Rhinolophus ferrumequinum: one gene and its partners. The protein of the gene in region 4 interacts with the protein of the main gene of each other region in a pairwise test. Links are inferred from orthologs where the notes say so. Each region holds a gene or a part of one and is shown on either strand. Other genes may lie near its edges.

Evidence for each region.
Region 1: the proteins of GOPC (region 4) and CERCAM interact in a two-hybrid assay, tested with the Homo sapiens proteins (2 studies listed by BioGRID and IntAct). The two-hybrid records come from large-scale screens. The link is inferred for Rhinolophus ferrumequinum from reciprocal best matches to the Homo sapiens genes GOPC and CERCAM.
Region 2: the proteins of GOPC (region 4) and HCK interact in binary tests that used the Homo sapiens proteins (3 or more experiments, as listed by UniProt). The two-hybrid records come from large-scale screens. The link is inferred for Rhinolophus ferrumequinum from reciprocal best matches to the Homo sapiens genes GOPC and HCK.
Region 3: the proteins of GOPC (region 4) and RNF183 interact in binary tests that used the Homo sapiens proteins (3 or more experiments, as listed by UniProt). The two-hybrid records come from large-scale screens. The link is inferred for Rhinolophus ferrumequinum from reciprocal best matches to the Homo sapiens genes GOPC and RNF183.

What each region holds. Positions count from the first base shown.
Region 1 is NC_046295.1:77,277,563-77,285,020, reverse strand, and holds the start of CERCAM (inactive glycosyltransferase 25 family member 3), read right to left. Parts: upstream 3,022-7,458; 5' UTR 2,937-3,021; coding exon 2,906-2,936; intron 997-2,905; coding exon 908-996; intron 324-907; exon of another isoform or gene 273-323; coding exon of another isoform or gene 210-272; coding exon 76-209; intron 1-75. UniProt on the Homo sapiens protein: Probable cell adhesion protein involved in leukocyte transmigration across the blood-brain barrier. Does not express any beta-galactosyltransferase activity in vitro.
Region 2 is NC_046306.1:22,499,426-22,506,397, forward strand, and holds the start of HCK (tyrosine-protein kinase HCK), read right to left. Parts: upstream 3,022-6,972; 5' UTR 2,727-3,021; intron 1-2,726. UniProt on the Homo sapiens protein: Non-receptor tyrosine-protein kinase found in hematopoietic cells that transmits signals from cell surface receptors and plays an important role in the regulation of innate immune responses, including neutrophil, monocyte, macrophage and mast cell functions, phagocytosis, cell survival and proliferation, cell adhesion and migration.
Region 3 is NC_046295.1:65,194,061-65,201,652, forward strand, and holds the start of RNF183 (E3 ubiquitin-protein ligase RNF183), read right to left. Parts: upstream 3,022-7,592; 5' UTR 2,962-3,021; intron 1-2,961. UniProt on the Homo sapiens protein: Acts as an E3 ubiquitin ligase catalyzing the covalent attachment of ubiquitin moieties onto substrate proteins. Triggers apoptosis in response to prolonged ER stress by mediating the polyubiquitination and subsequent proteasomal degradation of BCL2L1.
Region 4 is NC_046286.1:68,269,943-68,277,617, reverse strand, and holds the start of GOPC (Golgi-associated PDZ and coiled-coil motif-containing protein), read left to right. Parts: upstream 1-4,674; 5' UTR 4,675-4,895; coding exon 4,896-5,183; intron 5,184-7,675.

The sequences.
Region 1 (7,458 bases), on a different chromosome or scaffold from region 4:
GGCCATCTGGACAGTAGGGGCTGTCCCTGGGGCTGGGGCAAATACTCAGTGGGTGCCAATGCCCGGGTCTCTCACCAGAGGGCCAGCCGGGCCCGGGGGTAGTCCAGCCGCTCGAGCGCGCCCAGGTAGTGGGATATCGAGTGTTCGGCATTGCGGGCCAGGATGGCAAGGACCACGGCGGGCGGCAGCAGCTCGGCGACGCCTGCAACCTGGAGCCGCAGCCCCAGCAGGAGCAGCAGCTGGAGCAGCCCGGCGGCGGGGACAGCGCGCATGGCGGGCACTCGGGCGGCGGCGGCGGCCCCCGGGGCTCCCGGCCCGGCGGAGGGGAGTGGGCGGTGCGGCCGGGCCGGGGCGGGGCCCGGGGCCGGGGTGGGGCCGAAGCGGCCAGGAGGAGGAGTTGGGGGCACGTACCCCCCAAGAGTGGGTTCTCACTCCCTACCCCTATACGGGGGTTCTCAAGTGTCTTTTCCTCTGCCAGGGGCACCGCAGGGCCAGGACCGGGAGACCTGCCCCAGACGCAACCCGGGAGCAGCCCCCGCCCGGCTGGAAGCCGGAGGGAGAAAGGGGGAAAGATGGGAGGGTCTGGGGTGACGGCATCCGAGCCGCCCCGGCGTCTGCGAACTCGCCACTCCAAATCCCTGAGCGTGCAACCCCCAGAATCCGGCTTCACCGAGCACCCGACGCCCCTGAATCCGGATCCCTGTGACCTCAGTCCCACGGACCTCAACCGCCCACCCCGCGAGACAGGATAGACTCCGCTCGGCCCTTCCGGGGTTCCCCGGCCCCGCCCCCTCCACCGCCCCCGGGCGCCCCCTGGCGGGCCCAGATGGAACTTCGCAGAGAAGCGAGGCGTCGCGTGGGCCTGAGAGCCGGCTTGCGGGGCGGGGAAGGGGTCTGTCTCCCTGACCTGGGCGCCATCCCTCTGCAGTCCGAGCCTGGCGTCCCCCGTGCGACATCGCCCTCGCTTCAGTCGGCGGCACTGGCACTGCTCCGGTCCTTTAAGAGAGCAAAGTTCACTCTTAGACTGAGTGCAAACCAAGAGGGCACCACACAGCCCTTCACGGTGTCCTAGCCCCCCTCCAAAGCAAGCTTCCCTGGGGCAGAGCTGGGGTCCTAGGCTCTGCTGAGATGGAAAGGGTCTCCAGCTTCTCTTAGGAGAGGGCAGGAAAGGTGAGGGGTCTGGAGACACCAATGGAGGGTTCCAGCTTCACATTTGCCACGGACCTCCGGCAGGGCATTTTCCCTGAGCCTCAGGTCCTCATTTGGGCTAGATTGCAAGAATTCCTTGAGAGAATGAATGCATTTGAAGCTTCTCTGCATGGAGCCTGGCTCCAGGAAGAATTCCTGAGTCTGGAAGACAAGACTGAAGAGGAAGCCAGGCTCCCCTTTCATTCACTGTCCCCACCCACCCACCAGGAAGGTTTCCTACTTTCCTATGGCAGGTTTGGGTCTCTCTTCAGCCTCTTCCCAGAGTCAGGGAAGAGGGCTAAGCCCGTGCATACTATTTCCACTGAGAGGAGAGAGGTGGGAGTTCAGCAAGGAATGAACCTGCCTAGTGATGGGACAGAATGTGGGGTTGTGGAACCCTGGAGGCCAGGAGTCCTGGCTCCAAAGCCTCCTCCAGGCCCCAGTTGAAGCTTCCGGGGGCGGAGGAGGGAGGGAGTGCTTTCTGGCCAGCGGCCCTGCAATGGAAGGCCTAAGGCCTCTCCCTGCTGCTACTTTTTGGAGAAAAGAGAAGCTACCACCTGGGAACTCTCATTTCTAGCCCCTAAACCTTCCACCCTCTGTCTCCAAGCTGGCCTCTGCTCACACTGGCTGGTACAATGTTGTTACTTCGGCACAACAGAACCACTCCTGAGCTCCAAATGCCATCCCCTTGCCCTTCCTGAATTGCCAACCTCCCTCTCTTCTAGATTTTTCCTTCCACATTCCAAAGGATTTAAATCTCCCCCAACCTCAAATACAAAAACACCAAGCTGCAGCCCTGCTTCTCTCTCCCTTCAAACCTCTTGATAGGGGAATCTGTGCTTTGTTCCCAGTCTTGCTTCCTCATCTCTGTTCACTGCTCGACACAGGCCCAGGCTGCTCCAGCCAAACCGCTCCTGCCAAGACCAGTATCCTCCTGGCCACTCCTTCAATGGACACTTTCTCCTCACCCAAGAGGGCTCTCCTCAGCAGCTGACCACATGGACCACTCCCTGTTTCTGGAAAACTGACATGTGTCCCAACTGCCCCCCTGGAGCCAAATTCCATCTGTCCAAAACAAAACCTCAATCTTTCCCCCAAACCTGTTCCCCCTCTGGAGGCCTCCCCACTCTAGGGAACAGCACCTCCACTTACCCAGTCCCTCAAGCTGGAGACCTGGGTGTCACTGATGACAAGTCCTTCTTTCTCAACCAGGTCCATCCCTCATCCTGGCAAGACCACCTCCTCAACGTCTCCTGTATGTGGCACTCGCCTGGCTCAGGGTATCAGCACCTAACATTCACCCGGGCCCCTGCACCTCCCAGCCTCCCACGCCACCCTACCCCACTTTCTCCCTGGAAACCATTCTGCACTCAGCAGTCCTTTCTAAAATGCCTGACATTAACACCCTGACGGGGCCGAGGCCTGCCCTCAGTATAGAGCTCAAACCCCTCAAGGGGCAATGAGGCCCTGTATGGCCTACCTGATGCTTTCCCAACTCCTCTGACCGCCCCTCCCACCCAAGTTCCTGCTCCAGCCAAACTGGACTATGTACAGTTTCCAGAACACTCCATGCTTTAGGACCTTCCCACATCCTTTTTTGTTGTTCGTTCATCTGCTTGAACTGGTCTTTCTGGCAAACTCCTACAGGCCCTTTGATCTCAGTTTAAACTTCCTTCCTCTGGAAAGCTTTCCCTGGTGTCACGTCGGGGGGACATACCCTTATACGGCATCCTATGTAACCCATTCATTCAGCAAGTATTTATGGAGTACATGCTAGGTACAGGTAGAATTCTAGGTATAGGGGTATCCGAGACAGACCATCTCTGCTTCTCAGGCGCTCACATTCCGGTGAGAGGAGACAGACAGGAAACAAGCAAACTGATAAATTAATACTGTGTTTCCCCGAAAATAAGACCTACCTGGATAATCAGCTCTAATGCATCTTTTGGAGCAAACATTAATATAAGACCTGGTATTATATATATTATATTATATTATATTATATTAACCTAGTCTTATAGTAAAATAAGACTGGGTTATATTATATTATCTTATATTATACCCAGTCTTACAGTAAAATAAGACTGGTTCTTATATTAATTTTTGCTTCAAAAGATGCATTAGAAACAAACAAACAAACAAAAAAAGATGCATTAGAACTGATTGTCCTGCTAGATCTTATTTTTTGAGGAAACACGGTAGGTAGTTTCCCCAAAACTAGGGAAAAGGTAGGTAGAACAGTAAGGGCTATATGAACAAAACGAGTTAACAAGAACAGAGAACAGCTGGGGGGTGGGTGGTAACGTTGAGCTGAGGGGTCAGAGAAGACATCACAGAGCATAAGAGGAGCCAGCCAGGAGCAGCTCTGGGGGAAGACTGTTACATGTGGAGGGAGCAGGTGGGGCCAAGGTCCTACGGTGGGAAGAAGCCAGGCCTGGGCGGTCGGAGCAAAGTGAGGCGGGGGAGTGTGGTGAGATGTGAGGACCATCCAGGGCCTTGAAGCCATGGCGGGATTTTGACATTTTTTTTGAAGTACAATAAAAAGACATTGGCGGGGGGAACCAGAAGAGTGACATGATTTGTCTTTAAAAGATTGTTCTTGGGGTGGCCAGTTAGTTCAGTTGGTTAGAGCGCGGTGCTCTTAACAACAACATTGCAGGTTCGATCCCCACATGGGCCCCTGTGAGCTGCGCCCTCCACAACTAGATTGAAACAACTACTTGACTTGGAGCTGATGGATCCTGGAAAAATAAAAACAAACAAACAAACAAATAAATAAAAAGATTGCTCTTGCTGCAGCTCAGAGGGTGGACTATGGGGGCAAGGATGGAAGCCGGGATACCCTCGGACAGGGAGAGATGACAGGGGGCAGGGTTGAGGTGTGTAATGGGATTAGATGTGGGTGATGAAGCGAGGAATTAGGATGACTTACATGGTTTGCAGTCGGGCTGGATGGTGGGCTAGTTACTGAATACAGAAGACCGGAGAAGGTGGGATGGGCCAGTGCCAGATGGCTCAGTTGGTTGGAGTGGGGGCTTTCAACCACAAGGTTGCCGGTTCAACTCCTCGACTCCCGCAAGGGATGGTGGGCTGCACCCCCTGCAACTAACAACGGAAACTGGACCTGGAGCTGAGCTGCGCCCTCCACAACTAAGACTGAAAGGACAACAACTTGACTTGGAAAAGTCCTGGAAGTACACACTGTTCCCCAATAAAGTCCTGTACCCCTTCCCCAATAAAATCTTTTAAAAAAAAAAAGAAATACGAGGAGGTCATTGCAGAAGTGGGCTGATCAAGCACCTGTACTCCCACTGACATTCTTTTTTTTTTTTGCCCCCAAATATAATAATAAGACATACTCCACAAAGGTAATATTGGGCCAAATTCACAGCAATTCTAAAGCAGGTTTGCAAAGTATGATCCTTGGTCCAGCCAGCATCAACCTCCCCTGAAAATTGTTAGAAATGCAAAATCCGAGGCCCCACCCATACCTATAGAATCAGAAACTCTGCGAGTGGAGGTTAAAGCAAGGAGCCTTGAAGCTGCTGTTCCATGGGCCTAAGCCCTCATCCTCCGGGTCATGTGGAATACATGCCTGGAAAAAAATTGGGCCCATCTGTCGGAATAGGGCCCAGACCACCCTGGAGAACACCTAGTGCAGCTCTGGGTTTCGGCACTCCCATATTGTAGTTCTGATCGAGGCCAGGTGGTGGAGCTAGCGCCTCAGGCTTCACTCTGGCATCAGGAACTAGAGACCCCAGAATTGTCCCCCTCCCCAGTGCCTTCTCCGCTGGGAGCCTCAGCTCCAAGGCCGGCCCACTGGCAAGGGCTCTGCGGGTGGCCTTCATCAGGGAGAGGATCGCTGAGGCTGGCACACCCCAGGTGGGGGCCAATCCCCTCTTCCAGGAGGTTAGGAAGGTGGGCTAGAGGAGACCCCTTGGTCAGAGAGAAATTAGGGGTGTTTGGCCTCTGGGACTGGGGGTCAGGAACCCAGGAAGGTGGCTCTGGTCCAATTGACTCTGGCCACACTGCCATTAACCCTCTGCCTACCCTGCTCAACCTCAGACGAAGTCTCAGGTGTAGCTTCCCTGCCAGAGGCTGGGGGCAGCCTGGAGGTAACCCAAAGCCCAGACAGAGCCCCAGGGTTCGGGGTCCTCACAGCCTGGCAGTCAAGCAGCCTGAGAACAGGGGCCCACAGTCAAGGAGATGCTTGTATGGAGCTCTTTCTTACCAGCTGCCAGCTTCACGTCGCCTGGGTTGGGGGCTCTCTGGGCCCGTCCTGCTTTGTGGCCAAGGGAGCCCAGCATCCTGGCCAAAGGAGGAGCCCACGCCCCGCTTCTGGTCCTGGGGGCAGCTCGGCAGATAGGAGTCCAGGAGGCCCGCCTGGGCTCCCACCTCAGGTTCCAAGCCCGGGTCCCAGAGACCCAGGGCTGAGTGCAGGCTTGCCCCCCATCTGCTCCCCTCATCTTTCCTATTTGAGGGGACACAGAGACCTCCCAGTCCAGCTGGAGTCACCCTGCCCACTCTGCTTAGACCTAGCCTACCTTGGCCTCTGCTCCAGGAATCTGCCCACGCACTCTGATCTCCTGCAGTCCCACCCAACACCCACACCCACTCCAAAGGACTCTCCCTCTTGGCCATGCCTCCCTCTCCCAGGACCCCAGTGTAGAGCTGTCCTCTGAGGCTCTGCCTCTGTCCTTAGGAGGCTGGGGCCCGGGCCAGCTGTTTTCTCCAGACCGCCAGCTGTTTTGCCCATCAGGAAGCAGCCCTGGCTCCTTTGCCTAACCGGCTGCAGCGTGGCAGCCCTGCCTGGGCCAGAGCCTGAGCGCTGTTAACTCCTCTGGGCCCAGACACCCCTTCCCCTCCCGGTCCAGCCCCTCTGCCTTCCCCCTAACCCACAGGAGTAGCTGGTCACAAGACGTCTAGAGACCTCAAGAAGACAAAGCCTTGCTATCCACACCCCCATAAATGACTGCTAACCTGCTCCCCTCCCCTCAACAGAGCCTTGTCCTCAGGTGACCCCAGGTGAGAGAAAGTTAAAGGGATACTTGTTACCCCGTTCGGAACTATAATAATAATAGCTATCATTAACTGAGTGCTGTGTGCCAGGCATGGTGCTGAGTGCTTTAAATACGTAATCTAACTTAATTTTCACAACAACCCTGTGATGTAGGGAATATTTTCATTTTACAGATGAGGAAACTGAGGCGTGGGAATCTAAGTCACTTGCCCAAGTCCACACAGAGTTGGGGTTTGACAGGGGGCTGCCTGCCTCTCTCTGGTCGGCCCTATTCGCTCCAGAATCGCTGTTGGTGTTGCTATTTAAATTTCCCCGAGCTCCTCCCTGCAGGCTGGCTTTCCCTGGTCTGGGACTCAGTGGCACCATCTGTGAAATGGGAAAACTAAGAGGTGGAACCGCCAGCACCACCAGATCCCGTAGCCTGAGGCTGGAGCTGTGCCAGGCTCTGCACTCAACACCTTCCCAGTATTTATTAGCAGATCATTCCTCTTGGTGGCGGCAGTCGGCCTGGGCGAGGAGCCCGGCTCTGCTGCTTCCTGGCAGCTGGCTTGGGGCAAGAGGCTCTCCCTGTCAGACTTTCAGTGTCCAGAGCTGGAAAATGGATATAAGAGCGGTACCTACGGTCTCCTCAATTTTGTTGTGAAAGGATGAGATAACGCAGGTAGAGCGGTTAGGCCAGTATCCAACACAGAGAAAGTGGGTGGCAATATTACCTCTTATTATTATGACCATTAACCCCAATCTGGAAGGATCAGGATGGCCCACCCACCACTGTACATCCCCACACCCGGCACAGAGCTGGAGGCCTCTGTCCTTACTTTGTTAATGAATGAACCCTGGTCCAGTGGTACCTACATGGGGACAGCAGGCTGTGAGAAGGGCACAACTACCCAAGATCACAGTTACCAGGAAGAGCTATGGGGGCCCCAAGGTGCCCTGCTCTTAGCTCCTGCACCCCTGCAGCTTTCCCTCCTGAAGCTGGCCCCTGGTCTGGTGGAAGAGGAGGAGGGACAAGGAAACAGGGACAATCCCAGGGCTGAGACAGCCCAGAAGGTGACTGGGCCTCGGCTGGGTGGGATCTCAGGGTCTGGGAACGACCCCTCAGGATGCAGTGACCCGTGCTCTCCCCCTTTGTCCCCTCCCTCCTGCCCACCATGGGTCAGCTCCCTGGTCCCAGCCTAGACATCTGGAACTGGGGCAGACAAAGGACTGCAGGGAGGGACAATAACCTTCTGTCCATTTTCAGATGG
Region 2 (6,972 bases), on a different chromosome or scaffold from region 4:
CATACAATGAAATATTATTCAGCTGTAAAAAGGAATGAAATACTGATAAATGCTACAATGGGGATAAACTTTGAAAACATTACGTCGACCAGACACCAAAGGTGTATACATATTGCATGATTCGGTTTATATGAAATATCCCAAATAAATGAATCCATAGATACGAAAAGCAGATTGGTGGTTGCCGAGGGCTGGGGGAGAAAGGCACAGGAGGAACTGCTTAATGGGTATGGTGTTTCCTTTTGGGGGGATGAAAATGTTTTGAAAATACACAAAGGTGGTGCTTGCACAACACTGTGAATGTACTCAATGCCACTGATTTTTTTGCTTTAAAATGGTTAATTTTATGTTATATGAATTTCACCTCAAAAAAATATTACTACATAAAAATGCTTTGTACATCCAAACAATGGAATATTATGCAGCCATAAAAAATTCAAGGACATTTTAATGACATGGAAAAATGCTTACAATGTAACACAAGTGAATAAGTAGAATAAAAATTCTGTATGCAGCATATTACTAATTAATTATGTTAAATAAAAAGTGCACAGAAAAGAAGACTACATAAAAATAAAATAAAATGTTTGTTATACAAATTAAAAAATATGGAAAAATTTATGTTTCCATGGTCTGAGTGTCTACTAAGTATTGGGCACAGTGAATGAGATGCTTGAAGATCTGTCCTGCAATGGAGAGCAGGAGACCTGGGACAGTGGCCCTGGGTCTAGAAAGAGCTGGGAGGTCAGCAGAGCCAGATTCTTCTCTGTTCTCTGCCCCAGACTCCCTGGGTGACCCTTCCAGGTCTCAGTCGTTCTCTCTCACAAAAGGAGAGGGTCAAAGGTGAGCCATCTAGAGAGCCATCCATCCTCTTGGTGTTTTCCCCAAGAAACACCTGCCCATGTGCCCAAGGCCACACATTCAGGATGATCCCAGCAGTATTGTTTGTTGTCATGAACACCTGGAATAACTGAATGTTCACCCACAGGGGAATGAGAACTAAGGTAAGGTGGTCAACTGCTGGGCACTCCACTTAGAAGGAATGAACTAGACCTCTCTTTCTCATCCTGGCTAGACTCTGACAACTTAATAGGAAGGTGGGGGGAGAAGATAATTGCAGAAGAATCTCACAGGTCGATAGCATTTACATAGGTCTTTAAGACATGGAAAGGAATTCTATGTATTGTATATGCATCCATGTATATGTAATAAATTTATAAAGGCACAGACTGGAAGGGCTGTAATTCATGACAGTGGTTGTCTGTGGGCAGGGAGAGAAACAGAACTGAGAGGAATACAGTGTGGTGAGGTTTTAATTTTATCTTACTTTTAGTAATTTTATTTTTTAACCTGAAGCAAACGTGACGAAACACTAACATTTGTTAATCCTGGATGGTGGGTTCCTGGGATATGTAATATATTATTCTCTTCACTTTTTTGTATTTTAACCCCTCCCACCCAAAAAAAAGGACAGTGACAAGAAAGCTGTGGAATAAGGGAACTGTTATTTGAGGCCTTTCTCTGTGCTGGCCACAGGTTACACCAGTGGTTCTCAAAGTGTGGTCTCTGGACCAGCAGCGTCCGCTTCTCCTGGGAATGCAAATTCTCGAGGTCCTGCTCCAGAACAACTGAATCAGAAACACTGTGATCAGGATCCAGATATCCATGTTTTAACAAGCCTTCCAGGTGGTTCTGATGTCTGATAAAGTTTGAGAACCACTGGGCTAGACCGTGATAACTATGACCATGGTTACCGTGTATTAAGCATGTATACCTACCTGTCAGGCAGTGCTGTAAGAGCTTTCCTTCAGTAACGCAAGCTAAGCAGCCCTGTGAGGGAGCCATTATTATTATTATATCCATCCTATAACTGCGGAAACGGAGGCACCGAAAGACCAAACCCCCTGCCCAAAGTCCCACAGGCAGGTTGTTCCCAGAAGCCCCCTTCCTTAACTACGGCACTAACTGTCTCCCACATACAGGAAACTCTAACATACTCTAGCTCACTGCAACACTGGAAGAAAGAATTAATAGCTCCATTTGACAAATGAGAAAACTGGAATTCAGAGAGGAAGAATGACTTGACCAAGGTCTCACGAAGAGGAAAGTGGTGAGGCAGACATCCTGCGGTCTGTTCATGAGGTTTTGGGGTTTGAACTAGACATGCTGGAGATCAGAGCCCAGAGGAGAGGGAAGGGGAGGGGGAGGGGGAAGAGGAGGAGGAGGAAGAGCAGCGAGCGTTCCCAGCTGCAACCCTGCCTGGGTGTGGCTCGCACGTCGCGCCTACAGCCAGCTGTCCCCTTCCCCACAGCTGCCAACCCGCCGTGACCCGTCACCCACCCCCACCAGGAACCGTAGGGGCCTTCCCCTCCGGGCCTTCGTGAAGCCCCATCCTCTCTCTCTCTCTCTCTCTCTCTCTCTCTCTCTCTCTCTCTCTCTCTCCTCTCTCTCTCAGAAGGGGAACCTGGACAGCACAGAGAAGTGGCGGCTCCAGCATAGTCACTCGGCGGCCAAGCTTCCCTTCTGCTCCAACTCTCACAGGTTGGCAGCTGGGGAATTCCGCCCCTCATCTGGGCACCCTTCTTCTCGGTCTGCCCCTCATCCCACCGCCTGTCGGTCCCTTTCCCTGCACCCCAGCCTACCCTGCCCACCACTCGGGCTCCCTCCGCAGCGGGAAGACCCTCAGTCTGAGCACACAGGCGGGTGTCTCCCCGTCCGGCACTCACCTGGGCGCCCGCTGCTCGTCCGGCGGGCAGCCCGGATCCTCGCAGCTCGAGCGCCCCCCCAGCTCAGCAGCTCCCGGGGTCCCAGAGGGCCCGTGCCCGAAGGATGACCGACTGAGTTTGAAGACGAGGCTGGGGCGGCCCTGCGAGGTGCTTCCGTGCCGCGGGTCTTTTCGGGCTTCTCTGGCGCTGACCTGCCCTGGTCCCTCTCCGCCTGGCCTCTAGGCTTCCCCGGTATGCCTGGGCTGGTGCCGCGTACTCGGCGGCGCCCACAGGCCATCTGAGCGCTTTAGCCGCGCCCGGAGCGATGCTGACCCCGCCCCCGGAAGATTTTAACTCCACCCCAGGGATCCTAATCTCCGCCCGTACCTCCCAGGATCCTAATCCCGCTGCCTAAAGATTTGTTAACACTGCCCGTCTCCCGTCGGAGGGCTCTAACCTTGCTCCCCCAAGGATCCTAACTCAGTCCCTGATGGATATTAACCCCGCCCCCACGAATTTTAACCTCTCCTCCAAAGATTCTGATCCCATCCCCTCCCACCAAGTATCCTAATGAATCCTCTCTTAATGAATTCTAATACCTCCTCCTGACACGCTAACCCTATCCTAAAGGGATTAAAAAGCCCACCCCCAGGATCCCAACCCATTCCCCCCAAAATCCCAAACCCCGTCTCCTCATCCCAAAATCCTAACTCTGCCCCAAGCGATTTTGAACCCCACATCTGAAGGGTCTTTAACCTCTCTCACCGAAGGTTTCTAATCCTGCCCCAACGATTCTAACCCGGTCAACCGAAGAATCCCACTGCTCTCTTCAAAGAATTCTAACCCAGCCCTCAAGATTTATAACCCTAACCTCGGGATTCTAATCCCGCTCTTGGGCGATCCCAGCCTTGTACCCAAAGGATTGGAATCCACGCCCCTCCCCCCAAAATTCTAATCCGGTCCATCCAAAGATTCCAGCCCGGCCTCCAGGGATCCTACCCCTACCCCTCATCAAAGGATTCTAACCCCACCCTCTTCACTCTGACGGTGTTCTAATCCCTCTCCCCGCCCTCCCCACCACGCATTCTGATCTATTTCCCCCACCGTTCAATCCTCTCCCTCTAGCCCTCCCCTCCCCCACGCCGCGTCCCAAGCCTTCCTGGCCCTTCTGTGGTTAGCGGTTTCCGCTCCACAGGCCCCGCGCTATTTAAACGCCATGCAAAGTTCCTCGCCCGCAAGAACTGCCCTGTTTCATTCCTGGCCGGTTTCCTGGCAGTTCAGAAGACCTCAAAAAAGGAGGGGGCGAGAAATCCCGCCTCCAGGAAGAGAGATACAGGTTCTGGGGACATGAGAGGGTCACCGTCAGTGTCTGCTACGTCTTCTTCCACAGATTGCCGTTGTGACGGCAAAGGACCATAGATCGCTGAAACATTCTCCTGCTTTTTTTTTTCTATTAAAGTAATGCTGCAGTATAAATCCTTGTACGTGTTTCCAAAGCTCCTATCAATTTTATTATACAATGCTTTTATAAATAAAACGCACCATTACAAATACTCCTCTTGATGAGTTTTGGCAAATGTATACCCCTGTGTAACCATCACCCTAATCAATATAGAACACTTCTTCTATCACCCCAAAAAGTTCCCTTATACCCTGTGGCAACCACTGATTGGTTACCTAAGCTAATTATAGATTAGCTTTGTCTTTTCTAGAATTTACATAAATGCAATCATACAGTATGTTTCTTTTATGTCTGCCATCTTCTACTCACATATTACTTCTGAGACTTTCCATATTGTTATGTGTTCCAGTATTTTGTTCCTCTTTGCTGCTGAATACTGTTCCATAGTATAAATGCATCACTATTTGTTTATCCATTTCCTTTTTGGTGGACATTTGGGTTGTTTTCAGTTTGGGGCTACATGAATAAAGCCGCTATGAACATTCATGTACAAGGTTTCGTGTGGACATGTTTTGATTTCTATTGGTTAAATACTTAGGACTAGAGTTGCTGGATCATATTGTAAGTGTATGTTTAACTTTATAATAAATTACTAAATTGTTTTTTAAAATGATTCAACCAATTGCAATGTATGGTTTCCAGTTTCTCTATATCTTGCCAGTTTGGTATTGTCATTATTTTTAATTTAAAAATATTTCCCTTCTAACTCTTCTAACTCAAAAAACATTTATACAATTACAAATTTTATCCTAAAACACTGTCTTACCAGTATTTGTGGTGGTAAACCTTTTGTCTATTCTCTCTTTCTTTCTTTCTTTCTTTCTTTCTTTCTTCCTTCCTTCCTTCCTTCCTTCCTTCCTTCCTTCCTTTCCTTCCTTCCTTCCTTCCTTCCTTCCTTCCTTCCTTCCTTCCTTCCTTCCTTCCTTCCTTCCTTCTTTCTTTCTTTCTTTCTTTCTTTCTTTCTTTCTTTCTTTCTTTCTTTCTTTCATCATGGGGAATATAGCTGACCATAAGAAGTGCTGCTAAATATTGCATCTTTGGAGTCAGACTAGAGTTCAAACCCCGACACTACCATTTATCAGCTGAGTGATCTTGCACAAATCATGTCACCTCTCTGACCTCAGTTTCCTCATCTGTCAAGTGGGAATAATAATGGTATTTAGCTCAGTGAGTCATTGTGAGACTCAACTAGCATCTTATGTCCAAGGGTGATAAAAAAATATATATATATATAAGAAAAATAAAGCAGAGCAAGGGGAGAGGTAGCAGGGATGGGGGAAGGAGTGATAGTGTGACTTAAGATAGAGTGGCCAGGGAAGACCTCTCTAATGAGAGGGCATGTGAACAGAGACCTGCTGAACTGGGGGAATACATCATGTGATAATCTGGGGGCAGTGTGTTCTAAGCAGAATAGTAATAGCAAAGATCCTGAGGTGCAACCACACTTGGTGTTGTTAAGGAATTCAAGGAGGCAAGTGTAGCTGAAACAGAGTGGGTGCAGGGAGCATGATATAGATGATGGTGGAGAGGTAGTGGGGCCAGACTGTGAGGCCATGAATGTCTTGGTATTGACAGTGTACTTTAATTGACACGAGACGGGAGCCATTGGAGGGTTTTGAGCAGAGGAGTAAGCCACACTGGCTTGTGTTTTAATGGGATCTCTCTCACTGCTGGGTGGAGAACAGATTGGAGGGACCAGAGGGAACTCAGTGAACAGGCTGAGACAGTCATCCAAGGGCAAGATAATGACGGCATGGGCCAGGGTGGTGGCAACTGACAATTGTATGAGCTCAGAGAAAGAAAAGATCAAAATGTTTGAGACGTCATGGGTATGTACAAGGAGAGTCACTGCAGCACCGCTTTTACTAGGAAAGAACTGGAAATAACCTAAATATCCATCACTTGGGGACTGGAAAAAATAAATGATACTACAATAACCAAGTACCAGGCAATTGTCAAAAAATATAAGGATGTATAAAAACTAATTGTATTTCTATCCACTAGCAATGAACAATCTGAAAATAGAGTTAAGGAGAAAATTTCATTTACAGTATCACCAAAAAAAATGAAATACTTGGGAATAAATTTCACAAAAGAAGTGCTAGATAGTCTGAAAACTAAGAAACATTCTTGAGAGAAATTTAAGAAGACCCAAATAAAGTCATCGTGTGAGATGGGAAAGATAACTCATGGAGAAGACATCCCTTCATGGATTGGAAGACCTAATATTGTGAAGATGATGATACTTCCCCAATCGATTGACATAATCCCTATCAAAACCCCAGATGTCTTTTTCTTTTTTTAAAAAAAATAGATAAGCTCATACTAAAATTCATTTAGAAATGCAAGGATCCCAGAAAAGCCAAAACAATTTTGAAAAAGTAAAATAAAGTTGCAGGACTCACACTTCCCAATTTTAAAGCTTATTACAAAGCTATAGTAATCAAGATAGTGTGGAACTGGCATAAGGATAGACATACACATCAATGGAACAGAATTGAGAGTCCAGAAATAAACTCTCACAATGATAGCCAAATGACTTTCAAAATAAAGGTGCCAAGACAATTCAGTGGGGGAAAGAATATTCTTTTCAATAAATGGTGCAGGAACAACTGGATATTCCTATGCAAAATAATGAAGTTGGACCACTACTTCACACTATTCACAAAAATGGATCATAGACTTAAATGTGTGAGCTAAAACTATAAAACTCTTAAAAGTAAATGTTAATGACCTTGGGTTAGACAAAGCTTACTTAGATGTGATAGAATTGACAAAAGAAAAATAGATAAACTGGACTTCATC
Region 3 (7,592 bases), on a different chromosome or scaffold from region 4:
TTTAAAAACCACTTCTCTGTCCTAAAAACACACTTTGCAGATGGAAGGCAAAAAGTGACTCTCACCCAAGGTCACCCAGCTAGTGACACTAGGACTGCCAGTAGTTCACCACCGGTGCCATCATAAAGGCAGAACACGCAACCATGCAGTTACCTGCTGGATGTGTCTTATTAACTAGATGTGTTTGTATTTTCTCAGGAGATTCCTCATGGCCACAGGTCTCTTGTGGTAGGAATCCAGGAACTGTGCAGGGGGCACTTGGGGGCAGTGAGTCTCCCTTGTGCCGCTGCTATGACGTTATCTACCTTGACTGAGTTGATACCTGAAGCAAAACCTGCTTGTACTCTCTCACGTATGGCTTCCTGGTTTTCTTCTAGACCTGTTACCGCTCCACATAGGGGAGAGGAACTGAAGACCTGCAGAAGGAGGATGGAACAGCTCTGACCAAAGCTGGGATAGTTTACCAAGGATCCTTACCAATGAACACCTTATTCTGTGAACGATTCATCCGTTCTACAAAGTTACCGAATTACTGAGTGCTCACTATATGCCAGGTGCTGTGTGAGACGTTGGGTCAATAATGGTGAACAAAATGGACATGGTCTTTCACCTCATGGTCTTTAAAGTCTAGTGAGGGAAAGAGACGTTTCATGACTAACGGGCACTAAATAAATGTATAAGTTTAATGACTGCTATAAAGGACAACAAGGAAAATGGGCTTTGGTGGGCGAGGGGATGGCTGCCTCAGATGAGAGTACCAGGGAAGATTTTTCCAAAGAAGTGACATGAACGCTGAGACTGAAGGATAAGAGTCTGGCAGTGCAGAGCAGAGGAAGAATATTCTAAGTCAAGGGAACAACATGTACCGAAGCCATAAGGTGAGAAAAGTTCTGCCAAATTGAGGGATTGAAATGAGGCCAGGGTAACTGAGGTGTAACCAGTGGAGCTGGGGTGGGAAAGAGGCTCAGGATGAAGCCAGAGAGGGAGGAGGCCAGCCCTGCAAGCTGGGAAATGCATCTGGATTTATTCTGGATGGGTGGGGAGGTGTGGTGGGGGGAGGGCGACCTGATCCTGTTTCCATTTCATTCCATGGCAGAGCAGAGGACAGACTGAAGGGACAGAGTGGAAAGAGAAGCCCAGCCGTGGGTCTCCAGCAGTGCTCCAAGCTGGTATGTGGGTGCTTGAGTAGGTCAGCTGATGGCAGGAAGATCAAAGGCATGAGGTAAATGATATCTTTGAGAGAGAATCAAAAGCACTTCCCCAGAAACTGGACAGCACAGATTCTGGAACCTCGTTGTCAAGGCTCGTGACCCAAATCCACTGCTTACTAGGCCCATGATTCCAGTTGAATTGCTTAACCTTTCTGCACCTCATTTTCTTCTTCTGAAAAGGAAGCTAGAAATATATAGTACATCAGAGGGTAAAGGTCTCAGATAGAGCCTGGCACCCAGGAACGACCATATATGAGGTGGTTGGCATTATCGCTGCCAAAGGATTTGAGAGAGAGGAAGGGTGAAGGCCAACTTAGAGGCTATAAAACGTTTTCTGCACTGAGTTTTGAGGAGCCCCTCCCCCTCCTCCTCCTTCCCGGAATTCCAGAAGCAGACCTGTAGTGCTGCATCAAAAGCCTTAACATGTACGTTGCCTTGATTCAGCAGTTCCCCCACTGGGAATCTATCCCATGGAAATACTAGGGGGCTGTGCAAAGATTCCATTGCAGAGATACCATAGAGCACGGCTCTGATGGTGAAGAATTGAAAACTACCTAATTATCTAATAGACGGACATTGATTAAATAAATTCTGCTCCATCCATATGCAGAGACATTCTGCAACCTTTAAAATGATGTGATAAAACATCTATTCATATGGAAATATGTTCACGATATGTCATTAAATGAAAAGAACTATTAATAAAACCATGTTAGAATATAATCCAATTTTCCCATATATGTACCCAATGGAAAAAATGTCTGGAATAACAAACATCAAAATGTCAACAATGGTTACCTTTGGGGATAAGATTATAGGTGTTTGTGATTTTTTTTTTTAATGATCTTATCTGAAAATTCTAACTTGACTACAGTAAGCTTGTATTGCTCCTCTTAAGGACCTCCTCTTCCCCTCAAAGCCGACCTATATTTTCTGGAGGGAAGATCAAGGTTGCATCAACATCTTAGCCCTTATCTGCTGTGGTACACTCAGGCATCCACTGTTGTTTCAGGATCAGCCGGTCAGAATCCAGCCTCTGCAGGAGACTCTGCAGGAGCAGCCACCCACTACTCACCCCCAAGCGAAGACACCTCAGCTACAGCAAGTCCTAAACAGAACCCCAAAGGCATCGCCTCTGTCTATGACCAACTCAGTTTGCCAGATATTGTCTGTAGCATCACCCCAACATTTTCCACCTCGAGAGAGAGCATTTTACAGCACTGCACCGTTTACAGAGAGCCCCAGTTCTTGCTAAGGGTCTAAGTGTGGTGACTCAGACATAGACGGTAAATGCCTTTTACAGCTTTGTTCCCACTTGCATAAGGCCATTTGATTCTTCAAAACCACCCTGTGAAAGAGGGAGGCGGGGAGGAGAAAGTATGCAGGCTTTGGAACCAGATGTGTTTGCTGTGAGGTCTTCAACTAATGGCTTAACCTCTCTGAGCTTCATTTTCCTGTGTCAAATAGGCTAATAATCCCACTTTACAGGGTTGCTGTGAGGAAGGCATAATGTCAGAATGTGCCCAGCGAGGCACAGCAGGCACTGAAATAACACCTAGTCAGCACAATATTTTTATACCTGTATTATAGATGGGGCAGCCAAGGCTCGGAATGGTGAAATGACTTGTCCAAGGCCTCACGAGTTTGAATGATCCCAGGAGCCTTGTCTCCCAGGCCAGTGTTCCCCTGGGCTGTGCTGCTGCTCGGGACACTGTGACCCAGCCCTCCATGACCCTCCCTGGCTGCTTACCTTCTCTGTCACAGCCTCCCTCCTCCTGCTTCTCCTTTCAGGAGTGCAGCTCTGCAGCATGTGCTCTGACTTCTGGACTGGTTTCCAGTCAGTTGTGGGCGGGTCTCATTTGCATGAGTTTTCAGGCCACTCCCGGCCAGCTCTATCTCAGGTTCCCCACTTCCTTCTGATGACTTTGGACTGTCAGTGCTTACAGGGGACATTCTGGAAGTTTTGGTTTCATCTTCCTCCTATGTGTCGCTCTTGCTTTTTCTCAAAAGGGAGTTGAAGCCCATTCATCTTGCGGGCCTCTGTTCAGTGTGGGTTTGGTCGCCCGCCATCTGGGATTGCACTTGCCCTCTACGCGCTGACTGCCTTCACAGGAAAGTAGGGTATCTCTTGACACCATTTCTGCTATTCAGCCCAGGTAGACACTTCCCTACTCTGAGCCCTACCACCAAAATGCAAAGAGCTCTTGCAAAATATTGTGAAAAAAACAAATCCTGCAGAGAAGCAGTCAGGGAGAGGAATTTAAGCATAGCATGAAGAGCCGGGATTCTTTTTTTTTTTTTTTCCCTAAGATTTTATTGGGGAAGGGGAACAGGACTGTATTGGGGAACAGTGTGTACTTCCAGGCCTTTTTTCCAAGTCAAGTTGTTGTCCTTTCAATCTTAGTTGTGGAGGGTGCCATTCAGTCTCAAGTTGTTGTCCTTTCAGTCTTAGTTGTGGAGGGCGCAGCTCAGCTCCAGGTCCAGTTGCCGTTGCTAGTTGCAGGGGGCACAGCCCACCATCCCTTGCGGGAGTCCAACCGGCAACCTTGTGGTTGAGAGGATGCGCTCCAACCAACTGAGCCATCCTGGAGGCAGCTCAGCTCAAGGTGCTGTGTTCAATCTTAGTTGCAGGGAGCGGAGCCCACCATCCCTTGCGGGACTCGAGGAGTTGAACTGGCAACCTTGTGGTTGAGAGCCCACTGGCCCATGTGGGAATTGAACCGGCAGCCTTCGGAGTTTGGAGCATGGAGCTCTAACAGAGCCGGGGTTCTTAAGTCAGACTTCCAGGTCAGAGTCAAGGTCTCGCTCAGAATCCAGTCTGGACTTGCTAGTGTTGTGTACCTAGTGTTGTGTACCTAGTGTTGTGTACCTAGTGTTGTGTACCTAGTGTTGTGTACAGATAGATTTAATATGATTTTACATCTAGCAGCTTATCACTGAAGTTGTTTTAATACGCTCGTTTGTGACAAAGAAAAAAATTGCTTTTGTTACAAGAATGAAATAAGTCATGCCAAGATGTCATCATTCTACATCTGCTGTTGATTAGCAGTCGGGGGGCTTATCGATATGTGGGAGAAGCAACGGTAGCAAGGAAACATGTAGATGAGAAATACTGAGAGTTTGTGAGGACTGTTTGAGAGTTTGGGTTTGGGTGAGGGGACTCTGCTCTAACCTTAAAAACTCTCCGAAGACCCTTGGGGCATTCACTCCCATCTTAGCAAGGCATTGGTGAAAGACTGCTGATAAAGACAATGGTGATACATGGAGCAGCGTCCAGGAAGGAGATCACCCTGCCCACCACCAACACTGGCATCTCTGTTTCCTAGCAACGTGCTCTAGCAACAGGGAACTTTTGCTCTGGCAGCTGGAAATCAGCTCTTTGGTTGGTCACTGACTCTCCTACTTGTATATAAAGGAATACTTCCTATTAAATTTGGACTTTATTCCTTCACCTCCCCTGGCTTGGAACAATAGTGTGATTAAGCTGTCATTTGTTGGGAGTATGTTATTTCTTTATTCAGCTTAAGAGAGATCCTGTGTGCTATTGGCTTATGAAATTATAATTCCCACAGTGAATCTGTGCTAAATACATTGCTGGCAAAGACAGAAATCAGTCTGAGTATAACTTTTGCTGCCTCCCCCAAACAAAACAAAACAGTTAGCGTGCCTATATAATGAGGCCTCCATCCATAAAAACTCCAAAGGATGGGCTTCCGGATTGATGAACACATGGCAGTGCCGGGAGAGTGCCCAGCATGGAGAGGGCACGGAGGCTCCGCACCCCTTCCCACACACCCACCCCTTGCGTCTCTTCCATCTGGCTATTCGTCTGTGTCCTTTATAATAAGCTGGTAAACATCAGTACATGATTCTCTGAGTTCTGTGAGCTACTCTAGCAAATGAAGCCCAAAGAGGGTGTGGTGAGGACCTCTGATCTAAGCCAGTGGGTCGGAAGCACAGGTGACACTCTGGATTTGCACTTGGTGTCTGAACCGTGCGTGGGGAAGAGGCAGTCTTGTGGTACTGAACCCATCACCTCTGGGTCTGATGCTCTCTCCAGGTAAGTAGTGTCAGAATTGAGTTAAATTGTAGGACACCCAGCTAGTGTTGGAGAATTACTTAATGGTGTTGAAAATTACACACACCTGGGAATTGGTGTCAGAATCGGAACATGCTTACATCTTTTGCTAAGTAAGGACATTCATCACAGTTTTATTTTAGCCACAAATGATTAAAAAAAAAATGTGAAAGCCCAACTGTAGCACATCAATTTAGTGGCAAACTACATAATCATTTAAAATGATGTATAGGAGAATTTTGATTGACTTGTGAAAATGTCACAATGTACTGTAAATGGGTGAATGCAGTCTACAAAATGGTATATGTAGTATGAGGCAGATGTTGTAAAACAAGATTTACATATAAAGGCTGAAAAGCCATGAGACAAATATTACAACGGTTATCTCTGGATGGTGGGCTTACTGGTGTTGCCATTTTCTTCTTATCTATATTTTCTAAATTTCCATTAACAAATATGTATTACTTTTATAGTAGGAAAATTCATTTGGAAAGTACGTAAATCTGAGTTTCTGCAACCAGGGAATCTAGAACTTGAAAAGAAAAGCAGGGTGTATAAGAAGTCTCTCAGGGTATTGCAAGCATTGATATAAAAATAAAATAAACCATGGCACTTTCCAGGTCACTAATTGTTTAGTGAGCAAATGCATTATCATCACATCTCTGGGTGAGAGAGGCTAGGGAGTACCTTTCAAACCATGGAAAACTTTTCTGGGGGAGATGCCCAGGAGAGATAGTGAGTCATCTAAGGAATCTGAGAGTTGAACTAAGTTAGTTCATGCTTGGGGTCTGAGGTCAGCCAGCCGAAAAAGCACCTCATGTAAGCAGTACCTAGGAACCAGGTGAGTGAAGAGTCTTGAGACTTGGTGGAGCCCAGCCAAGGTCTGGAGCGGGGGGCTGGGTGGTTGAACCCATCTGGGGCAGAAGAGGCACAGATGGCAGTGGAGGATGGAGAAAAGGCCACGAGGAGTCAGGTTTTGGTCGGGTGATGATCAATGTTTTAGCAAGTGCCCCCACCAAGGGTAAGGGGCACCTCTCCCTGTGGGGCACCACACTCATTACTCAGAACCTTGTTTTAGGCCTTTCCAGAGTGCAGGACCGTTCCAGCACCACCGGTGTCACCTGGACAGTATTAGGGATGCAGAACCACAGGCCCACTCCAGACCTACTAAGTCAGAATTTGTATTATTACAAGATCCCTAGGAGATCGGGAAACACATTAAAATGTGAGGAGCACTCATAGTAATCAAAACAGCATGTCTCTGGCATAAAACACACACATAGATCAATGGAACAGAATAGAGAGCCCAGAAATAAACCCATGCCTATATGGTAATTTAATCTATGATATAGGAGGCACGAATACACAGTGGGATAAAGACAGTTTATTCAATAAACGGTGCTGAGAAAGCTGGACAGATACATGCAAAAAAACAAAAACAAAAAAAACCTAGACCACCTTCTTACACCAAAAATAAACTCAAAAATTAAAGACTTTAATGTAAGACCAAAACCATAAAACTCCTAGAAGAAAACATAGGCAGTAAACTCTCTGACATTGCTCTTAGTGATTTTTTTTTTTTTTGATATATCTTCTCAGGCAAGGGAAACAAAAAGAAAAGAAACAAATGGGATTACATCAAACAAAAGTTTTTGCACAACAAAGGAAACTATCAACAAAACAAAAAGAAATGCTACTAAGTGGGAGAAGATATTCACCAAATATACATCTGATAAGGAGTTAAAATCCAAAATTTATAAAGAACTCATACAACTCAACACCAAAAAACCAAACAATCCAATTAAGAAATGGGTAGAAGACCTGAATAGACATTTCTCCAAAGAGGACATACAGATGGCCAATAGACATATGAAAAGATGCTCAGTATCACTAACCATCCGAGAAATGCAAATTAAAACCGCTATAAGATATCACCTCACACCTGTCAGAATGGCCGTTATTAATAAATCAACAATGAGCAAATGTGGGCCAGAATGTGGAGAAAAGAGAACCCTCCTGCACTGTTGTTGGGATTGCAAAGCGGTGCAGCCACTATGGAAAACAGTATGGAGGTTCCTCAAAAAACTTGAAAGAGATTGAAAAGACAACTTGACTTGGAACAACTTGATTTGGAAAAAAGGCCTGGAAGTACACACTATTCCCCAATAAAGTTCCGTTCCCCTTCCCCAATAAAATCTTTAAAAAAAAAATGGTGGGGTGGGGCCAGATGGGTTTCAGAATTTTTCATATTTTAGGTAGGTAATTTGCATTTACTATATATTAAGTGACTCTCCCAGTGGGAT
Region 4 (7,675 bases):
AAGGTTGGAATTTGCAAGTCTTTTTTTTCTCCTTTGACTTCTTTGAGGAGTTCTGTTTGTTGCCTTTTGCATTCTCCATATTCAAAAAAAGAAGTTGAGGTTGATAAAAAGAAAATCTTACTTCTGAAATTGTAATATCTTAATTTTTCAACTGATCACACAAATATTTTCAGCATTCGCACTATATTAAGTACTAACACAGGACCTGCATTCAAAGTAAACGAGGTAGAGCTATTGCTGCCACAGTCTAAGGGGCTCCAAAAAAAATATATGATGAAAACTATAGCAGGTATTCGCAGGAAACTAAATAGGGATGGAGTCCATAGCTTCATATGAAGAGAAAAAAAGGAAGGCTTTCTGGAAGAGGTGTCTGAACTAATCCTAAATCACTGTACCAAAATTCTCAAGTTTTAGGAACAAGAGAGTAAACAATTATTCCATAGGTATATACAAGGCCAGACAATTAAGTTCGCGAATTCATCCTAGAAAAAGTGCTACTACATATCTCATTGCTAAGGTCACCTTTGAAGTACTCCCCTTGTCAAGCTATGCACTGATGCCAGCGCCTAGTCCACCCTTCAAAGCAATTTTGGAACTCTCTTTCTGGAATGGCCATCAGAGCTGTCATCGTGTTACCCTTGATGTCCTGAATGTCATCAAAATGTCTTCCTTTCAGTATTTCCTTTATCTTGGGGTAAAGAAAGAAGTCATGGGGCGCCAGATCAGATGAGTAGGGAGGGTGTTCCAATATAGTTATTTGTTTACTGGCTAAAAACTCCCTCACAGACAGTGCCGTGTGAGCTGGTGCATTGTCGTGATGCAAGAGCCATCAACTGTTGGCGAAAAGTTCAGGGCGTCTAACTTTTTCACACAGCCTTTTCAGCACTTCCAAGTAGTAAACTTGGTTAACTATTTGTCCAGTTGGTACAAATTCATAGTGAATAATCCCTCTGATATCAAAAAAGGTTAGTAACATCATTGCCACAAGTTCGCGAACTTAATTGTCAGATCTCATATAAATGATCAGGAGAATGAGGCCACTAAATCACTGTGGAATGCCCACACGTACTTCATTAGTATGTCTATCACAAAATTTCAAATTGTTAGTAAATATGAATAAATATGACATAAATAATACATATGAATATGATATATTCCAGAATTTTTCCCACATATCTTAAGCAAAATGTTAATGGGTTTTCCTTGGGTTTCTTCTAATATATAAAACAATTTATTGTGACCAATAGCACTTACTTAATAGCTTTTCCTTTTCCTGGTAGGGACATTGGAGAGTAAATGATACTTGTGAAGCTTAATATAGGGCCTGGTATACAGTAGAGTTCATTAAATGGTAGTCCCCCTTTCCAGTCCAAAGTAGAACTTCTATGTCCATTCGCTACAGGGACTTAATGATGCTCTAAGAAATATTTGAAGTCTAATCTCACAGCTAATTACCAGTACCTACCAAAGAAATCTTTAGCATCTTTCTTCTTCAGTTTCCTCAGTCCCCACCCTATTTATTCCTAGCAATACCTTGTGGTGAAACTGTTAGGTAAGTTCCTAAAACAAGACTGTCACATTTAAGTTATGCTAGAAATTTTTAATCATGTAAGCATGATTCCTGAAACAGTTATTGAAGGTTCTGCCAATGCAATGGCAAATATAAGTATAAAGATTTTACCTCTAGGAAAATAAATCCCATAAGTATTGAGATTAATACAATTCCCAATTCCAAAGTAGGTCAAAATAAAAAATGTAGGTAGAGCGCACAGCCAACAGATGGCAGCAGTTGAACATCAAACCCTGCTTTTCACAGGCATGTTAAATTTAACTTGCAGAAATGCAAAACCCCAATCAAGGTGGGTAAAAAATGTCTATAGAGGGCACCTCGTATTTGAATTAGTCACATAGCACCAAGATAGCAAGTATATAGGAATGTGGTAGTTGCTACATAGTATGGTAATGAGAAGGGACAATATGAGATGAAAGTATTCTGAGACACAGGATGTGACTTGTTGAAGATGAAAAGATTGGAAACAGAAGCTAATTGGATTCCACAATCCTGAAAATGGGGGTATTCACCAAGGATCAGAGCACTGGAAACATATAAACACTTAAAATACATTTCAGTACTACCCATACAATATAGCAGGAAGTTGATTGATATATTTTTTAATAGATTCGCATATGGCTACAACTGGGAAGAAATTGTTTCGAAAAACCTTTTTGACTGATTTGCCAATTTATAATACTGGTAACTTATACAAGAAATAGATTCCCTCATCCTTCTATAACCCGTGTTTAACTTTCAAGAGTTTAGAAGAAAAGATACCTAGAGTGGAATCTCACCTCAGTCGGCTTTTAGCTGTATTACTTTAACAAGATACTTAAGTTCTCTGTGACTCATCTATAAAAAAGTGACAATAGCTACCTCACAGGATTTTGTGAGAGTCAAAGAAGTAAACAAATAGCACTTGTTTAACACATAGTATGCACTGCATAATGGAAAGCTATTATTGTGATTCCAGGTTATGTGCCCCACCTCATTTTAAATTATTTGCTCCAAATTCCTGAAAAATACATTGTTAACTATATTATGCATAAAGTTATAAGAAAAAATTTCTGCGAAGGTCCAAATTAATTTACAGCGACTGGAAAGTAAGAGAAAGTGACAGTATTGCTAGTCTGCTAATGGCTGCTGACCAGTTAACAAAAAGATTTCTCACATCCCTGTTTTGCCTGTTGGAATTTCAGATTAATTTCCAGGTGGTTATTTCTGCAGATTATTTTAGCCAGCCACCACCTAACTCCAGGAGCCTCCTCTTGCTCATATGTGAGCTTTCTAGACTGGTGTCCTAGCAGACATTTCTTCATGTGGACTCTGCTATCTCAAAACTTGCCCCCGGGACTTCACCTTTCCCCAACTTTTTGCCTACAGCTCATGTAAATTCTTTCAGACTATCTCCTTCTTCCCCCTCTCCCATATTTGATGTATAAAAACACTTGCAAAACTCTGGGACGACAGACATGTTGTCTTTTCTACCTAGCCATGCTGCTTGCTGGTGGTTCAGACTCCATGCTCCAAGACCAGTCTTTTGGCTAGCATGTTTGGGTCAATGAAACACTACTTAAAGAAAGACCTTCAGCCATGGAAGTTAAAATTTTTTAGTTTAACAAGAGAAGGTGGCTGGGAACTTGGTAGCTATAGTAATGATGTTCTTGCAAGTACTGCAGATGAAAATAAAGTTAATTGGGAAGGTAATGGAGCAAGACACAAATTTTATGTTATTTCTTGTGTGTTAAAACCTATATGAAGGTGCCTATTTCAGCTCAAGGAAAGGATCTCATGGTTAGTTTTGCTTAGCTAAGTTTGCTGAACCAAGCCAAAGGACTTTATTGACCGATGCTATCCAGTCTGCCATACAGTACCCAGAGAGCAAACTAAAGCTATGATTTCTTATTCTTCATTGGCATTGTGTTGGCAAGGGGTACACAGTGCAGGCTTTGGTGGTAATGAACTGGAAGAGTCTGTCCCATGAACAGATCACAGAAGAGTCTGTAGCCTGCCAGTAAAATTTCCCCCTAGGCAATGGAGAGGCAGTTCCTATCAACCTACACTATTCAGATTGGTTTTTCCTTCGTTTTCCAAGACTGGGCTACTCTTGAGGTGGAAGGGGGTTGAAAGTGAGTACGCAGAATAGCAAAGAGCAGTTGCTAAACACTCTCAAAGGTACTGCAAAATTCAAATTAAAGTTGTAGCTTTGAGGATTAGACTCACTGGCCTCTGAGCTCTGCTTGAGTGTTACGTATTATTCCATTTTGTATCCCCAATGCCTCAGCAGGGCTCTGCATTCAATATATTTATGAATATATAGATCGTCATAATTTTGTTTTTCTGAAATGTCATGTGTGGGAACACTGTACCAGTTTTTGAAATAAACACACCGTTTTAAGTAGTTTCTGGAAATGACCTGTAGTGTAATAATAAAGAATACCAAATGCCAAGCACTGAAGCTAAGCATTTTACATTACGGAGTGAATTTTGGCAACTGAGGCTTCAAGATTGTATTCAAGAGAATACAACTAAGATGGCACAGCTGATATGTTACAGGGTTTAAGACTTGAATCCAAGCTTGCCTGACTCTTAATCACAAGACAAAACTATTAATTCAGCAAAACCTGGTCAACCACAGTCCTTCAATGTGCAGAGTCCACTGTGAATTTAGGGCCTGGTTTACCAAGATGAGCCAGTGTGTCCACCCACCCCACCCTAACCAGGAACTGGGATGTTCAAGGTAAAACGTGGCCTTTGCGCAGGCTCACACGCCCATCCTCACTCTCCCTTCCCCGCCTACAGGGCGTCACCGCCACAACTTTCCCGGACTTTAGAATGGCTCCCACCCACTGTGAAGTCAAACAGGCGGAAGTCGTTCCTCTGGGCGACACATGGACATCCTTCTCTTCCTCTGGCCTTTCCAAATTGGAGGGGACACCATGCCCCTCCGTTTCTCCCGCATTCAAGAGGGAGTTTGCCAGTTGTCAATATGGCCGCTGACGGGCCGGTCCCCTGCAGAGGCTTTTCATAGGCCAAGGTCGCATCTTAGCCCCGCCCACTACGTCCCTCCGGCTGCTCCCGCCTAGGTCTTGGCTGCGCATGCGCAGTCGGGGCTGACCGGGTGGTGGGGCTGCTGGATTCTTCCGTGTGCCACCGTCTCTTCTTCAGGGTGGCTGCTCCTGCCACTTCGGGGCTGCATTGCCAACGTTAGCCGCGCGAGGGGAAGGGACGGGACGGAAGGAGCGTGCGTGCACGGGGATCCTCACAGTCCCAGCAGTTCCTGTAGCGCGGGGTGGGCGGTGGGGGTCAGCAGTAGTCGGCAGTGGCCCTAGACGGCGCCATGTCGGCGGGCGGCCCGTGCCCGGCAGGAGCCGGAGGGGCCCCAGGGAGCGCATCTTGCGCCGTGGGCGTCTCCCCCGGTGGGGTATCCATGTTTCGGTGGCTGGAGGTGCTGGAGAAGGAGTTCGACAAGGCCTTCGTGGATGTGGATCTGCTTCTAGGCGAGATCGATCCGGACCAGGCGGACATCACTTATGAGGGGCGACAGAAGATGACCAGCCTGAGCTCCTGCTTTGCGCAGCTTTGCCACAAAGCCCAAACTGTGTCCCAAATCAACCACAAGCTAGAGGTGAGCTTTGGGCGCTGGACGGGGCGGCATTCAACTGCAGTCATCAGATCGCGTCAGTGAAACGACCCTAGAAAAGTGCCCCCTGGGGCACCTGGGCTTTCAAATGTCAGGGAGAGTGCGTCTGTGTCTGTGTGAAGGAAAAGAGGGAGGTGAGGTTGGAGTGGAAAGGGGGTGTAGATCGACGTTAGGTCTCCCTGGGTCCTGCCATCCACCTTCCTTCTATATCTAGGAGGAGGCAACAGGAACGAATTGCACCAACCTACATATTACATTAAGCTAAGATTTAAGCTCAAAGATTCTGTCATAGGAATACCTTCGCCCATCTTTTAACATTTGGGTTTTTAGATATACTTTCACATTGATAAACTAGGTTTGTATATCCAGACAGATACTGTCCTGATTATTTTTAACCATTTCAGATGAACGTCTGTTGTTGCACACAGACATACTATTCCCTGCATGCATGAACTATTTAGGGGAATTTGATAAAAGCGCTGAGGAAAATTTAGAGGGATAAACACAATAGTATCAATGTCCTTCTCGGTTTACAGTCCTTAAATTACAGGCGACACCACCAGAGCTCCCTACAATCATTCAAATGACTTCTAACATTGAGATTTTGTTTGTACTTGACTATATTTCCAAAAGTCAGGATTTATTTTTGAGAGTGTGTGAACGATGATCATTTGCTTTAGTCTCTAATCTTGGTTGTGGTTGTGGGTGGAGTGGTGGTGGGTACAAAAAACAAAAACAAAAAATCTACCACATTGTGCAGAAAATTAAATTAGCGTATTATTACAATATTTAGAAATCATCATAGGTTAACATTGCATAAAGAGCTTTTTCTAACTAGGTTATTTTAAGTGTAAGAATGGGTCTTTCATTTTAAAGTACATAAAAATAAGATAATCAATGATGTGCAAAGCTCTTTGAACATTAGGTTTCCTAAGAAATCATCATTGCTACTTACCAGTTTTAATAAGAGAATGCCCATTGGATTCATATCAATATAAATATCAGATATGCATCCTCTCCTTGCATAGCCATTAGCATTCTTTCTGTTTCCTGTTAGTCATGAAAAAGTTGGTATAATTTTTGATTAGTATAGAATTGCATATCAGAAATTTTGTGACTTCTCCAATGAAAGGACTGTTAATTTTTTTCCATCTGTTTTGAAAAGGTTGGAATGGAAGTGCTAATATGAAGCCAATCACTTTTTCTTCTAGATATATAAAAATGTCTCTTGATTTCTTGATTAGTGATAGTTTCTAGAAGATAGTTATTTTTCCAGGTAATGAAATTGCATTTGATGATTTTTATTAATAGTACTCTAGTTTTAAATAACAGAGCAAGAGTAGGTTTTGCCACATGAGAACTTTCATATCATTTACAACGGAAAGTATCTACTAAGGATAAATAGCTTTTAAAAAATGAAACAATATCTAATTCATGTTTTAAATGACTAAGGAAACTTTAACAGTGATATTTTGATGTAAGATGTAAAATCTAATTTTGGGAAAAGGATAGTTCTCTGAGTAGGAGGTGGTGCTTAATTTCTTTCATCTTTAATATTTTACATGAGGATTCAGAGCTATAATAAATTATTCATGTTCTTTTTTCCAGAAATTATAATTACGTATTCTGACTCCATGTCCTGACTTAGGAAGTAGCGTTATTTCTCGAAATAAGAAATGCTAGCCTATCATAATGTGAGCATACATTTTTTTAACATGCTTGAAACCCTTGATATAAATGTCTTAGAAAATGGGAGGGGAAGAGGCTAAACATGATTTTTTTGTTCGTATGTTTTTTCAGTTACAGTTGCTCATCTCTTTGTGGGGTTAACCTTCTACATTTAGTAGTTTCTACAGTGTTTATGAAATTAGTTGTGTATTGCTGAGGAGAGCTTCATTGTCAGTAGTGCCTTTTCAAAGTAGATCTGCTGTTATATCATTTGCAAAATTTCAGAGGTTGCTCTGTATAATGTTATCAATCTTCTGAGGTTTTGAAATCTCAGAAACACATGTCCATGCTTTCTTGCCCTATTGTATTTCTTAGTAAGTGGATTGAATTCTGTTGTTCGAAAGATTTGGACATGAAGGCATACTGTTTGAGGCCACTTACGGTTTGATGTATAACAAACGTGCACCAAAGTTTAAAGTTCACTGGTTTTAGTGATTAATACCTTAAACCACATTACCATAATAAAATATTTTTGTAATAAAGTCTCAGATATCTCCAATTATGGATAACTTACATTTCAATTGGTCTTGAGTGCTCTTCCAGACTGCCCCTTCTTCTACCCAGTCATCGTGTCTTTAGGTAGCACCATGTTTAATATTAATGTCGTAGTTAGGAAAACAATGTTGCTGCCAAAAAAAAAAAAATCATAGGTTACATTTAAAAATTAAATATAAATGACATCTATGACTGCTTCTTGCCATAAGTTATATTTGGGGAGAGGGATGTTTGTAAGAGAATGGGGAGGGCAA